Linked DNA regions of Nothobranchius furzeri. The protein of the gene in region 1 interacts with the protein of each later gene in a pairwise test. Links are inferred from orthologs where the notes say so. Each region holds a gene or a part of one and is shown in the gene's direction. Other genes may lie near its edges. The genes, in order: spdl1, dnaaf4 and ca8.

The links.
Region 2: the proteins of spdl1 (region 1) and dnaaf4 interact in binary tests that used the Homo sapiens proteins (3 or more experiments, as listed by UniProt). The two-hybrid records come from large-scale screens. The link is inferred for Nothobranchius furzeri from reciprocal best matches to the Homo sapiens genes SPDL1 and DNAAF4.
Region 3: the proteins of spdl1 (region 1) and ca8 interact in binary tests that used the Homo sapiens proteins (3 or more experiments, as listed by UniProt). The two-hybrid records come from large-scale screens. The link is inferred for Nothobranchius furzeri from reciprocal best matches to the Homo sapiens genes SPDL1 and CA8.

The regions. Positions count from the first base shown.
Region 1 is NC_091741.1:109,686,592-109,689,183, forward strand, and holds part of spdl1 (protein Spindly), read left to right. Parts: intron 1-317; coding exon 318-416; intron 417-483; coding exon 484-594; intron 595-660; coding exon 661-801; intron 802-1,351; coding exon 1,352-1,458; intron 1,459-1,735; coding exon 1,736-1,856; intron 1,857-2,046; coding exon 2,047-2,113; intron 2,114-2,182; coding exon 2,183-2,347; intron 2,348-2,422; coding exon 2,423-2,492; intron 2,493-2,592. UniProt on the Homo sapiens protein: Required for the localization of dynein and dynactin to the mitotic kintochore.
Region 2 is NC_091744.1:80,737,586-80,741,342, reverse strand, and holds the start of dnaaf4 (dynein axonemal assembly factor 4), read left to right. Parts: upstream 1-1,172; 5' UTR 1,173-1,503; coding exon 1,504-1,626; intron 1,627-3,757.
Region 3 is NC_091751.1:59,051,394-59,055,050, forward strand, and holds part of ca8 (carbonic anhydrase-related protein), read left to right. Parts: intron 1-1,827; coding exon 1,828-1,962; 3' UTR 1,963-1,994; exon of another isoform or gene 1,995-2,019; intron 2,020-3,657. UniProt on the Homo sapiens protein: Does not have a carbonic anhydrase catalytic activity.

The DNA.
Region 1 (2,592 bases):
AATGCGTCAAGCATAAACCAAGCTTAAGTGTGAGGCATCATCGTCTTAATCTGCTCCAGCAGTTAAATAAAATGTTTGAATCAAAGCACCTTGAATTGCTTTTGTGTTTGAAATGTGCTATACAAATAAAGCTGCCTTGTTTAAGATAACGTTAGCTTGTTATTTTAGCTAACGGTGTCGTACTGGATTACTGTGTAGTACTTGATTACTTTTACACAACATTCAGTGTATTGCTGCTAAGTAGAACCAATGTTGAGCTTCAGTGTTTTTTCCAGCCCGTGTCTCTGCACACTTATTCCAGTCTTGTGTTGCCACAGAAATCTCGAGAAGTGAACCGAGACCTCCAGATCCAGTTGGATCAGGTTCTTCAGCAGGCCCAGGATCCAAACAGTAAGGGGAACTCGCTGTTCGCTGAGGTAAGCACACACACTCAGCTGGGTTTGAAGTTGCCTCTGCTGCTCATTCTGTTGGATGTCGTTGCAGCTGGAGGACAAGAGAGCTGAGATGGAGAAACAGCTCATCAGCATGAAGGTTCAGTACCAGTCCCTGCAGAAGCACCATGCCTTCAGCAAGCAGCAGATGCAGCGCATGAAGGTACGATCACTACAGGGGGAAGCTGCTCTCACGTGAACCATGCAGCAACACATGTGTGCTGTGCAGATCCAGATAGCCACTCTGATGCAGCTGCTGGGTTCTAAAGCTGACTCGGACCAGGTGGAGAGACTGCAGGACATGTTGTCGGAGAAGAATGAAGAGATCCAGAATCTGAATGCTAAACTCCAGAGACTGGAGAGGTCAGAGGTGAGCTTGTCGGCTAAATGGCAAACTCACTATGCACACACACACGCACACACACAGCTAAAGATTAATTGTCTTTGTGTGTGTGTGTGTGTGTGTGTGTGTGTGTGTGTGTGTGTGTGTGTGTGTGTGTGTGTGTGTGTGTGTGTGTGTGTGTGTGTGTGTGTGTGTGTGTGTGTGTGTGTGTGTGTGTGTGTGTGTGTGTGTGTGTGTGTGTGTGTGTGTGTGTGTGTGTGTGTGTGTGTGTGTGTGTGTGTGTGTGTGTGTGTGTGTGTGTGTGTGTGTGTGTGTGTGTGTGTGTGTGTGTGTGTGTGTGTGTGTGTGTGTGTGTGTGTGTGTGTGTGTGTGTGTGTGTGTGTGTGTGTGTGTGTGTGTGTGTGTGTGTGTGTGTGTGTGTGTGTGTGTGTGTGTGTGTGTGTGTGTGTGTGTGTGTGTGTGTGTGTGTGTGTGTGTGTGTGTGTGTGTGTGTGTGTGTGTGTGTGTGTGTGTGTGTGTGTGTGTGTGTGTGTGTGTGTGTGTGTGTGTGTGTGTGTGTGTGTGTGTGTGTGTGTAGATCCTGTTAAAAGCCCACTCAGCCAGTCAGTCTCCAGCAGGGAACTCTGATGGTCCAGATGAGACCTACTACACCGACCTTCTCAGAATGAAGCTCAGCAACAGCGAGTGAGTTCAGCTGCTTCACTGTTTCCCTCCATTAGGTCTAAAAATGAGGAGGAAGACTAATCAGCAGCTGTATGGTTCTGGTTCACGGTGAGTCCCCAGGTCTAACTCTGACCCTGAGCACCGAGGGCCGTCCTAGCTTGGAGTTGCTAATGAAGATCCAGTTGCTAGGTGGACAATGGCTCAAGCAGAGAGCTGATTGGTTTAGTCAGGGTGGTCTTTGTTCAGGATGAGGTCACATACATGTTACAGCTCTGTGCCCTCTGGTGTGTGTTCTCAGGAAAGATGTCGAGCGTTTAGGAGACGAGCTTTCCCGGCAGAGGATGAAGTCTCTGTCTGAGAGTCAGAGAGCGCTGCAGCTGGAGAGGAAGCTGTTCAAGTCTGAGCAGCTGCTGAAGCAGGTAAAGCTGCTCTTCCTGTTCACCAGATCGGTGTGTCCACAGCCTCGTCATCCGCATAAACTCACGTTGGGTTGCTTGTTGAGTCGTCTCACCAGCAGGCCTCTGCAGTAATGCTGCTGGTGTGAGTCCTCCTGAGCTCGGCTGCAGACATGGACATATTTACTTCCTGGTTTTGGTCTTCTTCCTTTAGGCTCAGAGTGACAATTTAAAGCTGCAGCTGCGTGTGGAAGAGCTTCAATACAAATATGAACCCAAAGGTGACAGAAGGACCCAACCCCCTCATTATTCTGTTTGCCGTCTTGTCCATAACACTTTCCTGTCTGCAGAGGTGGAAAAGAACCCTGTCCAGAGGAAAAGGAGGGAGAAGCTTCCTGTGGACATCCCTGCCCCCCCTGAAGGCGTTGCTCGTGGTGAGCAGATGGCTGCTGTGGAAGTGACGGACTCAAAAACAGCTGACTTGGAGGCCGTTGAGACAAACCGCTGCTCAGAAGGTGTGAGACCTGCTGCTCGCTCCCTGCAGACGGGATTTCCTGATGGAAATCTGAATAATTTCTGTTCTGTTCTAGCTTCAGGGTCAGACCCGCGACCTGCCAAGTGTGTGAGGATCAGCGTTGAAGACTCGGATGTGACTGACAGGTCAGTAGCTGATCCTCCGAGCTCTCACCTGTTGAACAGTGACCTGTATTAAGTTCTTAGAGGAATTAAATTCAGTGGAGTGGTCACCACCGGGTCTCGT
Region 2 (3,757 bases), on another chromosome or scaffold:
GATCCAAAACACATGAAAACTATGATTTTTAAAACAAAAGCATGAATTTATTTCCTTGTTAAACAATAATAAATCCGTTTCTCACATGAACAGAAACAAATCTGATGTCCAGAGAAATGAACGCAGCTCTGACACTTTGTTGCTCTCATGAAACTTAAGTTTTCCTATCAGAGGGTTTATGGGGTCAAATCATGTAGAAAGTACATAAATCACACACACACACACACACACACACACACACACACACACACACACACACACACACACACACACACACACACACACACACACACACACACACACACACGCCTAAGACAACAGGAGAAGCACCATAAAAGGTTTAATAATATTTTATTGTGAGTGAATGAAGCCAAACAGCTTCAAATGAAACCATCTGTTGGGTTCCTGATTGATTATTTCTGTCTGAAGGCATAAAAACAGATTTACAGGCTCTGACACTGAAACCATCTGAGGTTGGCAGATCATCCACCGCCACGTTCCTGACTCCATAACTAACTTCTGCACATGCATGTTTTTATTCTAACTGTGTAATCCTGCAGAGGACTACATGTTCGGTGTTAGAAACAGGAGTTATCTGTTTTATCTACCAGGATGATGCATTTATAAGGTCAAAGGTCAGAATCTGGAGCTTCAGGTGTTTACAGGAAAGAGTTCATAAAGAGACTTTTATCTCTGCACACTGATAAGACAAACTCCAGATTAGAGATGGCACCGTTACAAAGACATGTCCCTACTTTACTGTCAGTCAGCATTCTTTTGCAACAAGATGCAATTAAAGCCAAATGTTTAACCAAAGAATCATGGTCAATTGGCCCACAGGGCCAGAACATCAAAGAACATCTATTCAGTTTAACAGGCTGATGAAATCCTGGCCTTCTCTATGGGCTTTGATTCATGTGTTAATCGTTTTTATTATTATTGTTATTATTATTATTATTATTATTATTAGACTCTGTAACTAAGAACTAATGAAAATGTAGAGATTGCATAATTCTAATGAACAACACACAAAGAAGCTATAAAGATAAGGTGTGTGAGATCATTAACATTTTCTCCTCAGCAATAAAAGCATCAAATGTTGATTATAAATATTAAAATAATGATAGTAAAAAGTTATAAATGACATTTTAAAAATACAAACCAACACAACAGTGTGCTCCATGTGACGTTGTAGATGTCATGTTTATGTTCTGGTTAGCTAGTAACCAAGGCAACACCTTTACCTGCTGGCCTGCTGTGCTTGAGCAGGTTATTTAATCCGTAAATACGTCTGTGTGAGAAATGTGTAAAGAGAATAGATCCGCACGTGACTGAAATCTAAAATCTCCGACAACCCTGAAGGCAGCACGCGGTCTCTCGTCCCCATAGTAACAGAATGCCGCTGGGACTGAAACGGAAGTTGTTGTTCGGAAGTTTCTAACCTGAAAACAACCTAGTTTTTCACGATTATTATCAGTGCGCGCGCACACAGATGAGTCCAACATGCCGCTGCACGTGACGGACTACACGTGGAGCCAGACGGACTCCGCGGTCAACGTCAGCGTACCGTTAAAAGGAGCGGCGCCCGGGAGAGTGGACGTCATGTCAACGGACCAGTACCTCAAGGTTTCTAATGCGCATGCTCAGCAATATTAGTTTAGGTCATATTAGACCGTCTAGGGTGGTCTATTGGACCAGGTCCATGAGAAATCAAGTCAAACTTTATTTATATAGAACAATTCATACAACAAATGCAACTCACAGTGCTTTACAAATTAAAGTGACCCCACATTATCTCCCTCCCCATAAATATAAAAGCAACTAGAAAAATTGCATTTATTGCACAAATGCTGTTTGAATGCTGGATAGCTGAAACTGTAAGCTGAAGCTGCTGAACAGCTGAACTGAAGCTGGAATTAAGCAAAACTGTCAAAATGAGCTGAATGTCTTGAAAGATGTAGAAGCAAAAGCACCAACAAGCAAATAAAGCACAAAAAGTATGTGCTAAAAAAATATAAAATAAAACAAAATTATCGGGCTGAAATAACAGACTCATTATGAGAGGCTCAATGATATGCATTAGATTGGTGTTTAGTACCCTTTTTCCCATCTGATATTTATAGTTAAAAATATTTTTCAATATTTGACCTACATTTCAGTAACATTTTAGGTTTGTATTAATAACCTCATCTTAGTCTAAATAACACAAATATATCTAGTAACATACAATACATTTCATTAACATGCATTTGTATTGGAAATGGTAATAACATTTAATTTCTGCTGGTAACAGTGTAACGGTTGCTTGTCTATTATGTACGGGTTGGCAATAATCCAGTTTAAATTATGTTCAAAGATAGAAGTGTTTGTGAATTAAACACTACAACGGCTTGCCGTACATCCTGCAAATGTGACTCTGCAGCGGTTCTGATCCATAGCGCTGCAGGATGCAGAATAAACAGGATGGTGGGGAATATTCATCCGTTTGTAGAGTTTAGTCTTAGTTTTTCGATCATCATATATTTTTCTGTGCACCTCTTGATCGTGAGACTGCTACCCGTTCGCTTTAGCATTAGCCAATGTAGCTGCACGTTTGATCCCAAACTTTGGGCTAGTTCTGCCTTTTCAATTCAATTCAAGTTTATTTATACAGCGCCAAATCACGACAAGAGTCGTCTCAACGCACTTCACATAATAAACATTCCAATACAGGTCAATTCATTAAGCCAATCAGAAAAAAGTTTCCTACATAAGGAACCCAGCAAATTGCATTGAGTCACTGACTTGTGTCAGGAGCAATCCTCATACTAAGCAAGCATGCAGCGATAGTGGAAAGGAAAACTCCCCTTCAACAGGAAGAAACCTCCAGAGGATTCCGGCCCAGTACAAGCAGCCATCCGCCAACTGCCACGATCCACTGGGGACCAAGAAGACAGAGCAGACACAGACCTTTGTGTCTTTGCTGGTTCCTTTATTTTCCTCCACTGCATCCAGATTTCCACGCTGTGCACCAGTAAAAAGCATTTTTTCTTACACGTTACTTACTTTTGTTCAATAAAGTTCTGGGGAAAATAGTAATTCAAAGATGTTGCACCAGTGCTACATTTAAAAATAGACAGACACACTCAGACAGTGTCACTGGAAACTTTAAGCAAAGCTGTTTCTGTTGAATACTTTTTACCAAAACCAGACTGGAATTTATCTAAACGGTTGTGTAATTCCAGAAAAGTAATCAGCTGATCTGCCACAACCTTTTCCATTATTTTAGAGATGAAGGGTCATTTAGAAATGGGTTTGTAATTTTTAGGCTGAGATGAGTCCAGACTTGGTTAAGGATAGGTTCAATAACTGCATATTTGAAAACAGATGGTACAGAGCAGGATTGTAGGGACAAATGAATAAAATCTACAATGCATGGACCAATATGGTCAAACAAGAATACATGAGGTTGGTTTCTGAATGAGGTAAATGTCCTGGAAATCTACAGGAGCAAAGACAGACCATGGGTGTTTCTCAATGCCAAGGGACCTTGCCTTGGTCTTGGCCCCGTCCCGGTTGCCTAGGAGATACGTCATCGGGAGCCAACAAGACGTGTTCCTGTGTTCATGTTCTACCGAGGCATGTGTTCTCCGTTTGTTAGCCGTTTAGCTAGCTGAGCAAGGATACACGGGAGTTGTCTTGTAGCCTAGCCTTGGTCAAAAATTACCCAGAATACACCGCAGTATTTTCAAAAGGATGACGGATCAGAAGCCGGCAG
Region 3 (3,657 bases), on another chromosome or scaffold:
GGCCGTTCCTCCCAATCACACCCCTCCAGGTCAAGCTGTCATTGCCCACGTGAGCATTGAAGTCCCCCAACAGGACAATGGAGTCCCCTGATGGAGCACTATCTAGCACTCGTCCCAGGGACTCCAAAAAGGGTGGGTACTCTGAACTGATATTTGGCCCATAAGCACAAACAACAGTCAGGACCCGTTCCCCACCCCGAAGGCGCAAGGAAGCTACCCTCTTGTCCCCCGGGGTAAACCCCAACACACAGGCAGAGAGTCTCGGGGCTAACAAAAAGCCAACCCCAGCCCTCCGCCTCTCACCCGGAGCAACTCCAGCAAAGTAGAGTGTCCAACCCCTCTCCAGGTCTCGGGTTCCAGAGCCAATGCAATGTGTCGAGGTGAGTCCGACTATATCTAGCCGGTACCGCTCAACCTCTGCCACAAGCTCCGGCTCCTTCCCCGCCAGCGAGGTGACGTTCCATGTCCCAAAAACTAGTTTTCTTGTCCGGGGATTGTTCCGCCAAGGCTCCCGCCTTGGTCTGCCACCCGATTCGCATTGCACCGGACCCTTCATGTTCCTCCTGCGGGTGGTGGGTCCACAGTTGGACGAGCCCATGTATCCAGTTCGGGCTGGGTCCGGCCGGGCCCCATGGGCGAAAGCCCGGCCACCAGGCGCTCGCTCACGGGCCCCAACCCCAGGCCTGGCTCCAGGGTGGGACCCCGGTAACCCTCCGGGCCGGGTACTCCGACTCTTCGTTTTAACCGCCATGAAAGATCCTTCGAACCGTTCTTTGTCTCACCCTTCACCTAAGACCAATTTGTCATGGGATACCCTACCAGGGGCACTAAGTGCCCCAGACAACATAGCTCCTAGGATCATTAGGGCACTCAAACTCCTCCACCACGATAAGGTGACGGTTCAAGGAGGAGATAACTGGCTTCATAACTCAAAATACTGCTGTTAAATTATGACTCTTTGACTTTACAAATGGCACCCCATGCATGTGCATATCACTGTAAAGCGACAAAACGCCCGGGCGAAACATCGCGAATGAGACAGTCTCATCAGACATATGGATATCTGTTTCTTCTTCAGGGAATGTCAAGAATATCTACTAGGCTTTTCTTATTATAAACCTGTGAATATGTGCAGAGGGGTGAGTTTGATGATTATTTAGTTTTTGCAGGTGGTGGTTTTGTTGTCGTACTCCAGCCACTTTCACAACTGAATGAACGACATCAGGTTTTCTAAATCAGCAGGTCCTGCTTTTCTAGATTACACACTTCAAATATCCGCCTATTATTGACTTCCAGAAGAATGTGTGTGTGTGTGTGTGTGTGTGTGTGTGTGTGTGTGTGTGTGTGTGTGTGTGTGTGTGTGTGTGTGTGTGTGTGTGCAGTGTTTGCATGTTGCACAACAGTTGCTATGCTCACAGCCTTTGCACTTTGTGCAGTAGACCTCTTTCAGCCAGCGGCGCAACAGTGCAAGATCTGGTCTTTGTTTCAGCGGTTTGGGGCCCAAAGTGTGTTCAGTGAGGTGATAAAATCTGCAGTGGCTACGATTTACTGCAACAGGAAGTCGTACCTTGTTTTGTTCAAAATTCTGTTCTGACATGCACTAAAAATCACCTCAACAACTTGCAAAGGCTTGGATTCAGATTTGGAATGGGAAGTCAATGCTTTAAATTTGTAGGGAATTTGTTCAATGCTCAGACTGAAAAAGACAACAAGTCCACTCTTTAACTGATCAATTTATGCTCTGAAAATAAAAAATAAAAAAATCACACAAAGAGCAGAGATGAAATATTTCTGTTGTGGCTGAATTATTTTATCGTTTGTGTGCAGATTGAAGAGTTTCGGAGGCTGAGGTCCCACATCAAGGGGGCGGAGCTGCCTGAAGGCAACGATGGATTGCTGGGGGACAACTTCCGCCCCACCCAGCCGCTCAGTGAACGAATGGTTCGCGCTGCCTTCCAGTGACTTCTACATCCCTCTGCCATCACAAATAAACTGTGAGAACTGCAAACACAAAAATAGGTCCGTCCCCATTACTCAGCTCACTGCAACCCACTTTGCTGCAACAGTTCAGTGATAATGGATGTGGCTAAAACTGCTGACGGGGTGTTTGTTTTCTCAAAATAGGCTTTAATTATTTGAAAGTCAATTATTTAAGTAAAACAAATGCATACTTGATAGAAATCTGACTAGAATGTGTCGGCAAATGCTGTTCTCTGTGTTTTTGGTCCATTCAGCACACTTCATCACTGGGGACGGATTTCTAATGGAAGCAAAGCCCCAGAGGCTGTCAGGTCCTCTGATACTGAAGTATAACAGAGCAGGCCCTGGAAGAAGTAACCCAGTTCACTTACTAATCTGGGACCAGCCCTATATACATTACAGTGATCCCAGATTTAGCTCAGGAGCACTGCGGCAGGAAGACAAGGCAGAACAAAACCAGAGGAGATGAGGATTTTAACCATCCAACTTTTGTAACTGACAAAAAAAATCTGAATTTGTTTCCACAACTGCACTTGGTAAATGCTGAATGTAAAACATAGCAGCAAGATGGTGGTCTCAACAACTCTCACATGAGCTGAAAACAAAGATTATTCACCATCCTGGGTTAGGGGAAGGTGTCAGAGATTTCTGCTGGCTGTTTCCTCAGTTAGGAACATACTGAGGAAATGGAAGACCACAGGCTCAGTTCTAGTTAAGGCTCGAAGTGGCAGACCAAGAAACTTCTCAGATAAACAGAAGAGAAAATAGGTGAGAAGTCAGAGTCATCCCACAGATCAGCACCAAAGACCTATAACATTGTCTTGCTGCAGATGAAGTCACTGTGCATCATTCAACTATTCTGTGCGCTTTACACAAGGAGATGCTGTTTGTGAGAGCGATGCAGAGGAAGCCTTTTCTCTGCCCACTGCACAAACAGAGCTGCTCGAGGTTTGCTAAAGCACATTTGGACAAGCTAGCTTCATTCTGGAATAAGGTGCTATAGACTGATGAAACTAAAACTAAGTTATTTGGACAAAACAATGTTATGCGTTATGCATGGAGGAGAAAGAACACAGCATTCCAAGAAAAACACCTGCTACCTACAGTAAAACATGGTGGTGGTTCCATCATGCTGCGGGACTGTGTGCCCAGTGCAGGGACAGGAATCTTGTTAAAGTTGAGGGACACATGGATTCCACTCAATATCAGCTGATTCTGGAGACCAATGTCCAGGAATTAGTGACAAAGCTGAAGCTGCACCGAGGCTGGATCTTTCAACAAGAAAACAACCCTTAACACTTCTAACAATCTGCTAAGAAGAAGAAGAAGAAGCAAATATCATTTCTATAGCGCCTCTCAAGATAAAAATCACGAGGCGCTTCACAAAAACAAAAAAAGTAAAAATATAAAAAAGCATTTAGAAGTAAGGCATTCATGCAGAGGAACAAGTAGAATGTTCTGGAATGTTCATCTCAGTCCCCAGACCTGAATATTACTGAAAATCTGTGGTGTGAGTTAGAGCTGTCCATGCTCAGAAGCATCAAACCTGAATGAACTAGAGATGCTTTGTAAAGAAGAATGGTCCACAATACCTTCAGCCAGAATCCAGACTCTCATTGGAAGCTATAGGAAGTGTTTTAGAGGCTGTTATTTCTGCTAATATATTGTTATATATGT